2 linked regions of the Pelodiscus sinensis genome follow. The protein of the gene in region 1 binds, or shares a complex with, the protein of each later gene. Links are inferred from orthologs where the notes say so. Each region holds a gene or a part of one and is shown in the gene's direction. Other genes may lie near its edges.

Region 1 (7,417 bases):
AGGCCTTGGTTCCAGCAGCCAATCTTGTGGGTCCAGTGGTGCCAGCAGCTCACAGGTCCAGCAGTGCCAGCAGCCTGCAGGTCCAGTAGCTGCTGGGAGCCTGTAGGGCTGGCAGTCACCAGGAACCTGCAGCACTTGCAGCCCACAGAACATTTAACCATGTAACCAATTTAATTTCAAACAGTTATATGGTAATTTTTTTAAAATTTTTACATCCCTACTAGAGATGTTGCAGCAAGAGTCCATAGGCTACTAGTAGTCTGTGGAGCACTTCCTTATTGTTTTTAGAGAAATGAATGATCATATGGTAGTACTGGGTGGTCCTGCATATTTCCAGATGATGCATTAAATTAAAAGAGCTAAAAGAATACCGTACATTTTCATAATTTTACAGTAACTAGCTATATGAAAAATTATGTCCACAGGGAATGTTATAGAATCATGAATCTGAGGGGAAATGTATTGCACAACTGTGATTTAGAGAAGTGTCCGTTTATGAGGCTTCTGCTGAGTAAGTCACTTGATATTAATGGTTTGGTTAGCTAGATCCTACAAGCATTTGAAACATCAGTCCTAATGAAGCTAAGGGAAACTCTATGCAGATTTCTATCACATTTCTATCACTATTCTACGCAGATGTCTTTCACAGAATGAGGTCCATTATTTATTACAAATTTTATCCATCGGTAAAGTTATAATTACACTGTTGTCTCTCACTGAGGTTTTATCAATAAGTCTGAGATTTTCAGAGCTGATTAGTGATTTGGGGTACCTCCATTTTGGACTGTCCAATTTGACAGGAGGAAAAAGCGTCCAATTTAGAAGGGGTGTCAGTTCGGGCACCCAAAATCTGAAAGCATAAAAAATCATGTCAGTTTGAAATTCTAGGTCTAAGGGATAAATTTGAAGAGATAGGACTAACTTATTTTGAAGCTATAAATTTTGAAGTGTAGGTATATTCCAGGGCTACGTCTACACTGGCCCCTTTTCCGGAAGGGGCATGTTAATTTCAGCTATCGTAGTAGGGAAATCTGCGGGGGATTTAAATATCCCCAGCGGCATTTAAATAAAAATGTCCGCCGCTTTTTTCCGGCGTTTAGAAAAGCCGGAAAAGAGCGTCTAGACTGGCCCCGATCCTCCGGAAAAAGCGCCCTTTTCCGGAGGCTCTTATTCCTACTTCAAAGTAGGAATAAGAGCCTCCGGAAAAGGGCGCTTTTTCCGGAGGATCGGGGCCAGTCTAGATGCTCTTTTCCGGCTTTTTTAAAAGCCGGAAAAAAGCGGCGGACATTTTTATTTAAATGCCGCTGGGGATATTTAAATCCCCCGCGGATTTCCCTACGACGACTCGTGAAATTTACATGCCCCTTCCGGAAAAGGGGCCAGTGTAGACGTAGCCCAGGTGTTTAGAAGCACATGTTCTTGTACTTTCATATATGGATGCAAATTTCCAACAAATGCAAATTAAAAAGCTCTGTTTCAACACTTCTGAAAAATTAGCTTGGGATAGAAACACTTGGGGAGAATAAGGAGATCTGGTTTTGATTTCTGACTGACAGAGATTCCTATTGGATTCGGGAAAGATATTCCACAAAATGCTTTTACTAATATGTACTGCCTTTCACACAGAGATCACATATTGAAAAAGGCAAAACTCATGGGCTGTGTCTAGACTGGCAAGATTTTCTGGAAAATCAGCCACTTTTCCGGAAAAACTTGCCATCTGTCTACACTGGCTGCTTGATTTTCCGCAAAAGCAATGATGATCTACTGTGCAAAATCAGCCGCTTTTCCGGAAAAGCTTTGCTGCTCCCGTTTGGGCAAAAGTCCTTTTTCCAAAAAAGTGTTGTGCAAAAGGGCCAGTGTAGACAGCTAGCTAAGGCTTTACCGAAAAAGCAGAATAAACGGAAAAAAGCGGTTTGGACACCTGGAGACCCCGTAGGAGCCCCGGTCTTCCTGGTAACCCGAGCTCTTAAAAGAACACGCAGGCTGCTGATCGCACGTGGCAGGAGTGTGCCTCAGACCTGCGACCTGAGGTCTGTCACGGCGCCCCTGCCCTGCCCAGCAGCCATCTGAGCCAGCCATGGCAGCTCCGGGTGCTGAGCCACCTGCACCCCCAGCGCAAGAGACCCCCAGGGGCCACAAAAGACGGGCTCCCTCCTGGACCCCCAGGGAGCTGGAGACCCTCCTTGACCTCTGGCAGGAGGAGGAGGGCCTCCACAATACCCGGTCCTGGCGCCGCAAAGCCAATATCTTCGGCCGAATGGCCGAGGCGCTGGCCCAGCGTGGACACCCTGCCCGGAACATTGACCAAGTCTGGGCGAAGGTCAAGGAGCTGCGGCTCGAGTACGTGTGGGCCAGCGAGGGTAGGGGGGCAGGACCAGACACCTGCTCCCACTATGACCGGCTGCACTCCATACTGGGCCAGCCAGCCCCGCAAGGCCCACATGTGCAGGTGGACACCTGCCAGCGCCCCCCCGTCATCCGAATCACCGAGGCGGGGGAAGAAGAGGAAAGCAGCGCTTCGGGGGAGGAGACCAGCGTTGCCACCCAGCAGGACCCATCCAGCAGCTCCTCTGAGGCCGGGGAAGGATCCACCGGTGGGTCTTTGCAGTTCGCACTCACAAGGGCGGAGGGCGGGGGGGGGGGGAGCCAGGCGTCTGGAGGAGGGAGGGGCAGAGCATGTCACTCAGGCCACTTGAGTTGCATGCTGTGTAGCATTAGGCAGCAAGCAGCACGTGCAACCACGTGCAGCCTGGTGACGGAGCGGCACGTGACCGTGGCAGGCAGCTGCAGGACACGCCTGGGACCCTGCTGCTCACACACATTCAGCGGGACCAGGGGGAAGGGTGGATGCCAGCTGGAACTGGCCAGGGCCCCAGGGACTCAACCCAGAGCCCGAACCTCTGCAAGGGTCCAGAACGGAGAACGGCACACTGTCCCATGCCTGGCTGTGAGGCACAGCCAGCTGCTCTTGGGTAAATCGCAGCATCACAGCCCTGTGACTGTGGCCCCCACTGAGCCCCTCGCCTGCTCCCGGTGCCTTGGCTGGCTCCCCAAGGTAAATCCCCACTGTGGCCACACATGTCCCTGGGCTACGGGGGTTGTGTGAGGGATAGTGGGAGGGAGAAAGGGGGGAAGCGCTCGGCCACCCTTAGGGCCACCCTGAGTTTTGCTGCAAGGATGGGACATCCCCCCCCCAGTCACTCTTCTGGTTCCGTTCAGGAGATATCCCACACGATGGGGATCTGAGAGTCCAGACCACCTCTGCCAGATGTGCTCCCAGGCATTGTGTGGGGATGCATCTCACTCCCTGTCAAACATCAGTGATTAGCCCAAAGCTTCACAGTCTCCACCGGCAGGGAGTTCCACAGGTTAACACAACACACGCGCCCTTCCGCCCTCCACAGGGCCAGGACACAGACCGGTGGTTACAATATATGGAGGAGGACCCTACTCCAGTGGCAGTCCTCCTTGCAAACATACAACACGGGGGGAAGCGGGTGAACCGCGTGGGCCCAAGCCACACAACTGTGGGATCACCTGGGCTCAGGGGTGGAGGGCATGAGGTGTGGGGACAGTGGCCGGCCTGCCTGTCTGACCCATCCTTTCTTCTCTTCCCTGCAGCGGGACCAAGCACAAGCCAGGGACCCTCCAGTCTGACAGCAGCGGCACCCCCAGCTGCCCACCAGTGCCATGTAAAACCACTTGCCTTGCACAACTAATCCTGTATCTTGGTACTCAAATCTTCCACTGAAATCAGTACAGATTGGAGATATCTGAATGCAAGAGCAGGCTCCCATTTGTTTTGCAGTTTGGACTTCTGGGCTAAAAGTGCTTGCTATCCAGATTTCCTGTTTCTTTCACAGTTTATTATATGTGTTTTAGAATGTGCAAAGTGTAAATCTGTGATGCTTCAGAAGGATTATTAATTATATGTTTTGTTTTGATTTTTTGTTAATCATCATAGTATTTCAAGCGATTAAACAAATTAAAAGCATTCAATCATAATGTATTCCCAAACGGAATGGGACTAGGGAACTTTTTTCATTCCTAGAAGGGAGGTTAATTCCACTCTGACGGACACTTATGCTGTCCAATGCCAAACTTCGCTGTCAGCCAGCCGACAGACTTGAGGAACTTCACCAATGAGATGGTCGTTGCTGGGTTTAATAAAACAAAGATGCCCAATAGGAAAAATCATGGCCAGTGAGAAGTGCGTCGTTTTGTTTGCTGACTGCAGACGGACAGCTGCGAACGAGGGGGCACAGAGCAGCAGCAGCAGCAGGACCGTTTTTTAGGTTTGGAGCACAATTCAGCTCTTTTCCACCCTTCCCCCTCCTGCCCCTCTCACAGACACACTAGCCAGCCATGCTGTCCTTAGAGGACGGAGGGGAAACCTGAATTCCTATTTCCATCACTCAGCATTTTTACCGCCCCCTCCCTAATTTTACTGACGGGAAGGGATTAACACCCCCACTCTATAAAACAGTTGGAGGGATGAATACATTGCAGCACACGTTAACTTACAAAACCAACTGAATCTCTGGTGGACATCTTACAGAGAGTCTTTTTGAAAGGGCGTTGAGAAATTAAGCATTATTCAAACTTTATAGGTGACTATTTAAACGTAATTCTTAAGGGGAAGTGTACAAAAACCTCTTTAAAGAGACATTATTTCTTAGTTTCTTTTTTTGGGATGGGGGTAGAGTTTTGAAGAGGACTATTAAGCAAGGTTGTTTCTCTGTGAGATATGAAGAGCGCCAGACCCTGGATGTGGGAGTGGACGACCATATAGGAAGATCACGGCAGCAAGTTTGTTTTTTTTAAAAGAAGGAATCCTAAGTGTTTTTAAAAGAAAAGCAACAAAAAAGGTAAATGTAAAACAAGAGTTAAAGGCTCCTTCCATTCTTCCCCTTTGGATAAAGATGTTTTAGATGCCCTTTGCAAATGAAGAGGGAAGAAGGAAGGGGGTGGATTAAGTCTGAGTGTGATGCATCTACTATGTTGCCTTGGAGGATAAGAAGGGAATTTAATCTGTATCCGACGTACTCATTGTGATCTCTGGAGAGGAATTTTTGAGTTGGGAGGTGGAAAGAAATGCAACCTGAATCGAATGCACCTACACCGTTTTTTCTGGGGTCGGGGAATGAATGGGTAGCAGGCAGTGGGCATCTAGAGGTGTTTTTTGCTTCTGGAAAATGGAAAGGGAGAGAGGAAGAGGTCTGATTGCTCTACTGCCGATCAATTGCTGAGTGTTTTATTTAAGAGGGTTTGTTTGTTTTTTGGTACACCGCTTCCTGGTGATCCCGTGAAGCTAGAAGAGGCAAAGAAAATAAGCTGAGGACAGATATAGAAGACGACATGGTGAGCTGATCATTAGGGGAGAAGGGACTGGACTATTTTGTAAAGCAGATCTTGGAGATTAAGTGAATTTAGAATGACTTTGCATCACGGTTGCAGAGTAGCTTTGTTTGCTTAAGGCTGCAGTTGAGGCTTGAAGTGATATGTATTTTTTTGTCCTGTGATGTGTGGTGGGGGACCTGACCTACGTTAATGGCTAAAATTACAAATAGCCACCACACACACATGCATACCGTAAATAAACCAACACTGCGTGTGTTAATTCTGTAAAACGATGGGCAGTTCTTGTGGAGGGAAGTCGTTGCTCAGGTTATTTGTGGCGTGCATAGAGATGAGACCCCTGCTTTGTAGCAAAGAGCACGCAGAACTAACCTTTGTAGTTTAAATTGTAAAAAGATTAAATCCTCTTTCAATCTTATCATCCCAAGGAAGTACTTTTAGTATGCATTTTTCTCTGCTGCATTACTTTACATGGTTATAAACTAATATTTCCAAAACTTGAGCAACTCTTTAAAATGTTCAGATCAAGCATATAATGGCAGAGCCCCTCTCTTTCTATATAGTAGTAGATGGATTCGTCTAAAATATTTTTCAGTTTTTATAATGTACTCTCTTGTGCCTAGTTTTGGTGAACTCCAGTTTTTGTTCTTAGCAGGTTCAATTTTTTTTTGCAAATCTTGTAATTTCATATTCCAATTATATTAATCTTATTAAACATTGACTGTGTGACAGCCTTGAATTGGTGGATAAATATTTTTCCTTAGAGAGGATTTTTATGGTTAAATGTGGCAAAATATGGACAGTGGCTGATTGTATCTTCCTCTGGTTACAATGCTGCAATCTGTACCTATCTCATCTTCTAGATTTAAAGCTGTACCTTACAAACTGCAGAAATTCTGTATTGTCAGGAATGGATCCTGACATTGTACTGTCCCTAAAAATGTTAGAAGAAACTAGAATAAGGAAAAATGCAGTTTCATGTTGAGTCTGCTTTGGAACAAATTAGGATTGTTATATTAAACTAGCACTGCATATGCATGCTGTCTGAAGGAATTGGAATACTAATAATAATTCATAGTTTATACAAGAAAACAACTTGTGAGCTATATTATGATCGCAGTAATGCAAGATATTTAGATGGATGTTTGTTATATTTATTTTAAGCAACATCTCTGTAAATGGTTGTCTGAAATATTTAAATTATATGCCCCATTAGGCAAATGGGTTCTCCCCTCCCTCTCCCCCCAGCCTGGCTAGAGGAATGTGTTTGGTGGGCATGGTTTAGAGGAACAATACAGTTTGACTGTTAGTTATGTCCCCATGTTTTGTCTAATGATGCTTAGGCTTTGCTTTATTAGACATTAGTTGTTATCCATGCAAAGTTGTCTTTGCTGATTTGCTATTATTATTACATGGTTTCTCTGAACATAAATAACTTAAAGCAGTGGATTTAACCATAGATTTTACCTAATATTATTTAGAAATAACTGATGAAAAACTGTTTCCCATTGCTTGTTGTTTTCCTCTGTTCCTTCAAAATCCCTCCAGTGGAATTTGATTTCAGTAATTATTATTGGAAGAACCAATACATTAGCAAAATGCAGTTATTTACAGGATATACAGTTTGTAAGTAGTGCATTGGGAGAGAGTAGAATACTTCCTTTTAGTTGTACTTTATATTTTGTACAGTCTATAATGAAGACTGACATTTTAACCTACAAGTTCATGTGCATAAATATTACGTTGTATAGATTTAAGCATCTATGTCATATTTTATGTAATGCAATAAACACTATTTCTGCATTTCTGGTAGATTTAAATTTGCATCTGAAGCTATATACTATCAGAAAACATGCCAGAACTGTTATAGTACTACATTTATAATTTGCTGCTTTTAATATTTTATTGTGTGGATATAAATCATTGACACAAATGCTGTAAACAAATGCCTTAATTGCTAAGAGTGAGACTACATTTAGCTTACCCCTTTCCAATTTAAGGGAAAAATGATAGCATGTTGTAATGCATGGCATTAGTAATAACTATCAGTGTAATC
Region 2 (7,724 bases), on another chromosome or scaffold:
GAGTCAGTCCTAGAACGATGGAGGCAGCCCGTACCCATGAGCGGCTCCCATGCCTGCCCCCACGGCCTTGTAGCTCTCCACACACACACCAGCCCCAGCCAGGGGTTTCTCATGGCTGCTGCCCCTCTCTTGGTGCCGCTGAGCTTGGAGGCCGCGGCAGGTCAGAAGGTGTTGGCGCATCAGGTTCTGTGCAAGTTTCACCAGATTTCCACTGGTGTAAGAAGCCAGTGGACTGGAATTTGATCTTGCATCCTCCTGAGTCACACTGGATTCACACCAGTGTAAACAGGGTGGCCAGAGCCTCCCCTCCTCTCATGCCCCAGCACCTGAGCCTGATGAGAGCTGTGGGGTGCTAGTTGCCAACGGGGCACAGGGAGAACACCCCTAGCCTGCGGTGAAGAACTGAAGTTGATATTTTTGCACTGAACCTCGTGGTGTGTTTCACGTCACGTGCAACGCTGGAACAAGGGGGCCTGGTTCACGGGCTGTGTTCCTGCCCTGGGCTCCAGCAGGCTGGCCACGCTCACTGGGCAGCGGGTTTGGCTCATGCACTGGGAGGACTTTCCTCTGACAAAGGCTTTCTGCGCTAGACACAGGGGCCGGCGCTCTCTGTCGGGTGGTTGTGTCCAGTTTCTGTCCTGGTCTGGGTGTGCCCAAGGGCTCTGAATTGTTTCTCTCCTCTGCAGGAAGTAGAGTATGTGTCTCCTGCCCTCAGAGCAAGGCTCTGAATTATTTCCACATGAAGCCATGGATGGCAGTGAACTTTACCTAAGCTTGGACCTCCTTGGATAAAGTGGTGGAAGTCGATGAAAGAAAAGATCAAGGAGGGATAGGATAGAGGTCTATACAATCATGACTGGTGTGGAAAAAGTGAATGAGGAAAAATTATTTACTTATTCCCACAACATAAGAACTAGGAGTCACCAAATGAAATTAATAGACAGCAGGTTTAAAACAAACAACAGGAAGTTTTTCTTCACTCAGCGAACAGTCAACCTGTGGAACTCCTTGCCAGAGGATGTTGTGAAGACTAGGACTTTAACAGGGTTCAAAAAAGAGCTAGATAGATTCATGGATGTTAGGCCCATCATTGGCTATTAGCCAGGATGGGTAGGAATGGTGTCCCTAGCCTCTGTTTGTCTGGAAATGGATGGCAAAAGAGAGATCATGTGAGGATCACCTGTTGTGTTCCCTCCCTCTGGGGCATCTGATATTGGCCACTGGCAGCAGACCAGATACTGGGCTAGATGGACCTTTGGTCTGACCTAGTATGGCTGTTCTTATGTTCTTAATCTTTGGGAGGGGAGCATTACCTATGAGTTAGAGCGGAGCTCACAAGAGTCAGGATTCCTGGTTCTGCTCCTAGCGCCAGAAAAAAGGGGGCATCTAGCCATTAGACCAGGCTGTCGCCCTCTGCTCTGAGTTGTGCAAATGGGCAGGTGCATTTCCTCACTGCTTCCACCCTGGCTCAGCCACACGATGGGCGGGAGGAATGGGTGATATTAGCAATGTCTGACTAAGGCGGAGACCTGCAAGGACCTGCAGAAGGGAGTGTGGAGTAGGTTTTCCCGGGCTCCACCCTGGCACATCCCTTCCCTGCTGCAGCCGGAGGAGCTAACCCATTGTCCTGAGAGATCGGGGCGCAGCATGGCCGCTTCGGGGGCATCCAGTGAGCCCATCTCCCCTCTGCTAGAGCCGTGGGGAAGCACAGTCTCCTGATCTCCCCTTACAAGCAGGGGGCGAAGTGCGTGAGTCTCAGTCCTAATCCACAACCCTGCAGGTCTGGGCTAAGGAAGCGGTGCTGGCCGGGGCCAAGCCCAGGACCAAACACGTGCTCTAAAAGCTGCCACTTCTGCCCTCTGCTGGCAAGTGACACTAACGCTGCAGAAAAACCTATTCACTCCGGCCATGGGGTAGAGTGCAGGGCTGGGAAGGGAGGACTGAAAAGTAGAAGCAAGCCCAAGCCGGAGGCTTCCCCACCTGTTCTGTGCTTGTTTGTTTCAAAGGCAGGAGCCCCGACCTCTGGGTTCTAAAATGGGAACAGTCAATAGCGTGACAGGGTGAGAGGTTTGCTGTGTTTTCTTCCCAGCTTCTCCAAAGGAGAAAGAACTAAAGAACAAACCAAAAGCCACCCAGCAGACCGGAGCATGGGGCAGTAGCTCCAGGCCTGCATCTTCCTACTAAATTCAAAGGGGCAGATGCTGGTTTTGCTTCCAGACAGACTCATTCTAGTGAAGTCACTGGGTCCAATTTCTCTTCGAGGTGTTTACACCTGTGCAAAGGGCATGCAAACTTGGCAGCTTGAAATGGGTGCAAGGGAAAATCAGGTTCAAAATGAGCCAATCCAATATGCTATTTAGTCCTTTTAAAGACACGTGCAATGCCTCCAGTAGACTTGTCTGGACTGTCCAGAAAAGCCCCCTCCTTGTATGTTTTCAAAGTGTAAAGGTTAATGTTGTTGGAAAGCAGGGAGTATTTATTTTTGTATTCCTGTCCTTGTTTGCTGTGTGTCAGAACTGGTGAAATGAAGGTGAAAAGAAATCTCTGAGCTTTACACTTTTACCTGTGGGACTCTCCGTTGCAGGATGAAATAGCTTTAGTGTTTCAGTTTTAAAGAGAATCAGACACTCACAGGAATAACAGCCTGCGAAGTGACTCAAATTGAGACAAAGTCCCAAGGTTTGCAGGGAATATGCCGATCAGAAGGAAATATACCTCTATTGCATATTTAAGCTCTGGTCTTGGAAGGAGACGCATATAGTTTGATTCATTTGTAGCAACTGGGGCTGCATTTATTAACAAAGAGGGCCGTGCCAACAAACTTGCTCTGATATGAGCAAGGGATACCAAATACAGACAAACCTCCAGGTAACTATCTACCACGACCCTAGTGAATACAGCATTGGTGAAATAAAGAATCTGTAAGTTGTGTGCTATCTTCTGCAATGATGCAAACAAATGTTCTAAGGTCAAGAAGGGCTCTGTAGGCAGCAGTACTGATCTCAAGGGCTCAAAAATCATTATTCAGCTGTCAAATTCTGTTGTGTTTTTTTAAAATGAGTTTGGTTGTGGTATTTTTTTATTTGCTTTCTGGTTTCTGAGCCTTTAGGTCACACACGAGCTCATACTCTGAAGCTTTTCTGTGCAGCCACAAAGACTAGAACCATACTTTACTGAAAACACAAAAAACTCACACTGAAATTGTGAGTGTCGGCAGAAGAAGGGCTTCTCCAAGTGCATCTCACAGCCAGATTGGTGCCACAGGTGGGTGGGAATTGGTGCTTTCCTCTCACATGTTGGATTCTCAGGCCTGGGACACTGGGTTTGGCTGGGCCCATAATAAACCTCTGTGTGGAAAGCCCTTGTTCATGCCATCTTTCAGTTGTCTATGCTTCCCGTTATTGGAGTTTTAATTTTTTTAAAAAAACAAAATAAAAATGAAGCTGATGAACACGTGCCTGGATACATCTGTGCTGGCCTGGCTCTGGGAGGGGAGATGGGCTGGCATGAGGGATGGGTGGGGCCAGGATGGGTAGCTTGGGAGAGATAGCTCCAGGACTAAGTTTCCCCACTAAGCTGAGCAACTTGCCATTAAGTGGGACAGGAACCAAGGACTGCAGTGGGAAGCAATACTTCTCACCAAGCCTCGAAACTGCCATGACCAGTAGAGGGGAGCCCCTCCTCACCGGCCCCAGCATGGAGCTGCTATGGCCAAGGGAAAGGGGCCTATCCTTGCTGCCCTGGTAAGCTCCAGCCCCAACTCCCTACCCCACTTTGAGCCCCTCGCTCTGAGCATCCTACTGCACACCAAGGACTTCATCCCTGGCCTCACCCCCAAAGCTCACATCCCCGGCCCTGAGCCTGTACCCCCTCCTACAGCCCAACCCTGCCCCTGAGCCCCTCCCCAAACCTGGTGCCTCCATTATTCCCCAGAGCCCTCACACTCTGCACCCCAGCCCTCTGCCTCAGCTCTGAGCCCCACACCCGGCTACGTGAATTTAGTGATGTGCACCAGGATGACAGTGATATGTCGCACGCCACTGCCACACCTGTGCACATCACAAAATTCATTCCGCCTTGGGGTGGGAACACTTATGCCAAGGGGCACTCGGAGGAGGGAGTTTCTTTCCCCTTCCTTGCCTGCCTTTGCTGCAGCTCCAGACCTTAGTTGGGGGTAACCTGGGTGAGACCCCTCCCCATAGCAAGCACCCTGGGTTCCCCCAGCTCCTTAGGGGGTGCCCCCAGGGTACTCCCCTCCCACGTGGGTACCCCCCACTATAGTCCTCTCCCCCTTGGGGGGGTGTCCCTTGTATCCCTCCCCACCGAGCCCCCCCCACTGCCTAGGGCTCCTCAGCTCCCTGCGACTTGTAGTTCAAACCCCCTTGGAAGTTGAGTAAGTCCACCCCCCCAGCCTACAATTCCCAGTGTGCACTGCGCCCCGCCCCTCCCGCCCGCCATCGCGGGAAGCGCCCCTCGGCCCCAGCTCTCGCGAGAGCTCCCGGGCGCGCCGTATGCCGGGAGCTGTGGTCCTCCATGCGGCGGGGCGGCCTCCGCGCGGCGCCTGCCGGGAGTCGTAGTCCGGCGGCGGAGCGGGGCGGGGACTCGCCTGCCCAGCGTGCCCCGCGCGGAGCCCGCGCTCTCTGCGGCTCGCTCGCTCCGGCCGGGTCTCTCCTCACTCGGCGGCGGTTCCAGCGCGGGGCGAGGCCAGGCCGGGCCGGGCGGCGCCACCATGTCGGGCGAGGAGGAGGCGGCCGAGCTGACCATCGCCGAGGACCTGGTGGTGACCAAGTACAAGATGGGGGGCGACATCGCCAACCGTGAGTGCGGGGGGGGGCCTGAGGGGGGGGCCGAGGCGGGGCCTGAGGGGGGGCCGAGGCGGGGCCTGGGGGGGGGGGGCTGGCTCGGGCCTGGGGGTCTAGGGCGGGATCTGGGCAGCGCTGGTCCCCTCGGGTAGGGGGCGTGGAGGGGGGGGCACCCCTCTGGGGGTGGCCTGAGCTTCTCTCCCGTCCCCTCCCCCCTCCCCCACGGTGCCCGGGGGGGTCCCCACTGGCAAAGCCCCCCCCCCCCCCCCAGCAGGACCGAGACCTTCTCCAGCGCCTGGGCACCCCGGGCACATCCCCCCCCCAGCAGAGCGGGGTGCCCAGGGGGATCTACTCCCCCCCCAGGCCCGTGTGGGTGCGTGGGGGGGTGTAGCCCCCCCCCCGGAGCCGCCAGGCGCCGTGCCCCGGCCCGGCGGTGCAGCCACATGGCCCGGCGGCGCCTTTGCCATGTGCGGCTCCCGCACGCCGCCAGCTTCCTCCCACATGGGCTTTACCTTTTGTTCGCTGCTCTCGCTCCTGCCCCCTCGGCCGGGGCGGGCTGGGAGGCAGCGGGGGCCCTGGGGGGGGGGGCCCTGCCTGTGGCCCCGCAGTCAGCGGAGCCTGTCTGGGGAGAGTCGGCCCGAGCCGGGGCCCCCAAGGCGCAGCGAAATCAGTTTGTGTTTTTAAATCCGCTTCTGCCTCTTCCTTCTGATATTTTTGCTTTATCATTAATGGTGGCAACTAGTAACTCCAGGAAAGTGACAGCTGGTTAAAAATCGCCCTGGACTTCTCTTGGGGTGCCACTGGCATTTCATGGAGGCCAGGAGTAATGAGTGTATTTAATAACCCTTCTGAAAACAGGGTCAACCTGAAGCTCTCATGGCATGGGGAGAGGGCTCATTTTTAGTAGATTGGGCAAGGGGGCCTGCAAACAGGGTTCTCACCAGTCAGGTGTAAACTCTGTCCTGTTGGGATGCTTACAAGCACTGAGATACAGACTAAGAGTCCTGCAGTTTTAATGGTGTGTAGGGGATATGCCTCATGGGAAAGTAAAAAATGATCAGAGTATTTTTCTGTAAAATCAGTGAGGGGTCCTGTGACACCTAAAGACGAACACATTTATTTGGGGTTAAGCTTTCATGGGCTGGAGCCCACTTCGTCAGATGCATCAGTATTTTTCTGTATGTCATAGGTGTAAAATATTCTAAATCCAAAAGAGTGGCAAGGTTTTAAATTTTCCTGGGGGTGCTAAAAATCTCTTGATTTCTTGACAGTGTAGTACATGTATTTAATGATGTAAAGTGCTTTTAATTCATGGAATGAGGGACTGTGTAAGTACAAAGTACAGTTAATAGATATTCTTTGCCCAGTGCTATTAAACTGGTTTGTAACTTTCCCATTCCCTAATGGATATTGATTGCTGCTTGTTTTACTCCTGTGTGAATTTTAACACTTCACATTTTCAAGCTGCCCATTCGCATGATGGCATATGCAAACTCTGGGTTTGTGATGGTTTGTAGATAACTTTAAAAACCCACTTCTAAATTCACAGTTTATGTAGTGCATGGAAAGGTGATTGTATGGGGAAATAGGGTGATTTTTTTAACTTAATTCATTAGGTAGGCTCTTTAGCCCAATTTCTCCTACATGGGGGAGAGATTTTTTGAGCAAATGCCTTTTATCTAGGGATCTAAACACACTTTACAAAATTGTAAGCTTCACAATTCCTGTATGAAATAGATAAGAATTATCCCCCTTTGTTAGAAGAGGGGGAAATAAAGCCCAGAGGTTAAGTGATGCTACAGGACCATTGTTGTTTTTAAGTCTTTTTTTAATTACAGGCTAACACGCCCCTCTTGAGACTTTTTGTAGATCTGGAAAGCTGTGCCTCCCAGTGCCTGTACCTGCTGACTGTTGACTAAAGTGCAAACCTGCGCTTGTTCTCCCTCAAATAATCCTGGGAACTTCCCTGGCGCTTTTGTGAGGCAGTCAAGTTTTGTGCACAGATGTGATGCTGGAATACTTCAACAACAGCCCCATGCATCAAATATTTTCTAACTATTTATAAAATAGAAACGTACCTTGTATTCTGCAATGGAATCTCAACATCCTGACACAGCCCTTTAAAGCTCTCTAAAAGCAACAAAACTTTAATACCTCCAAACCAGATCCGTGCATCATATTGTGACTAGAGAATAGAATGTTCTGTAATGCCTGATGCGGCACAAGGTGTAGATGTGTAAGGAAGAATGAAGGGAAGCCAAACATTAGTTCTGAAATGCTTTTATGTGCAACTGCAAGCGAAAAGTGGCTGCAAAGTGTAAGACTCGCATAGGTAGGTAGCTTAGCTGTACTGTTGCCAGCTCTGATGCCAAGTGACCTGTCTCAATGAGAAATTATATTTAATAGTCCTTGAAACCCACAATAGCAGCCCTTGTTCCTCTGATATATGACACACAGAGTCTCCTGGATCAATTTTGAACCTCTTTCTGTAGCCCTGGCTTCTGAAGGGAAGGAATGTGGGAGAACAGTGCTGCTTCCACTTGACTCTCTAGTAAACAGACCCTGCTGTCTGTGTAGGTGGAAGTGGACAGGTGTTTGAGATTTCAAGGACACCTACAGTTCAACACTTCATGGGCCTAGTCGGTGTGCTTGTTCCCAGGTGCTTGCAATCACAGGAAGGTAGTGCTTGCTGGATTTCTTGAGTCAGGACAGCCAATGGATGCCAGTTTTATTTTAAAAAAGTCTGATGTGTGCACATTTGATGTACTTGCTTGGTGGTTCAACTTTTCACCCTAATTTAATTAAAACACCTTCCTACTGCAGTTTTGTCATGTATGAAGGGGCTCTTTCAAAGCTATTGGTTGTTTTTTAATTAACACATCCATTTCCAATTCATCAACGCTATGTGTTTGAACCCAGGGG

The links. The genes of interacting proteins can lie anywhere in the genome.
Region 2: ARVCF (region 1) and PA2G4 share a complex: the UniProt entries of both Homo sapiens proteins name them as parts of the ribonucleoprotein complex. The link is inferred for Pelodiscus sinensis from reciprocal best matches to the Homo sapiens genes ARVCF and PA2G4.

Annotation. Positions count from the first base shown.
Region 1 is NC_134725.1:19,249,870-19,257,286, reverse strand, and holds the start of ARVCF (splicing regulator ARVCF), read left to right. Parts: upstream 1-4,217; 5' UTR 4,218-4,298; exon of another isoform or gene 4,299-4,706; 5' UTR 4,707-4,871; intron 4,872-5,314; exon of another isoform or gene 5,315-5,364; intron 5,365-7,417. UniProt on the Homo sapiens protein: Contributes to the regulation of alternative splicing of pre-mRNAs.
Region 2 is NC_134729.1:4,164,959-4,172,682, reverse strand, and holds the start of PA2G4 (proliferation-associated protein 2G4), read left to right. Parts: upstream 1-4,591; 5' UTR 4,592-4,729; coding exon 4,730-4,817; intron 4,818-7,721; coding exon 7,722-7,724. UniProt on the Homo sapiens protein: May play a role in a ERBB3-regulated signal transduction pathway. Seems be involved in growth regulation. Acts a corepressor of the androgen receptor (AR) and is regulated by the ERBB3 ligand neuregulin-1/heregulin (HRG).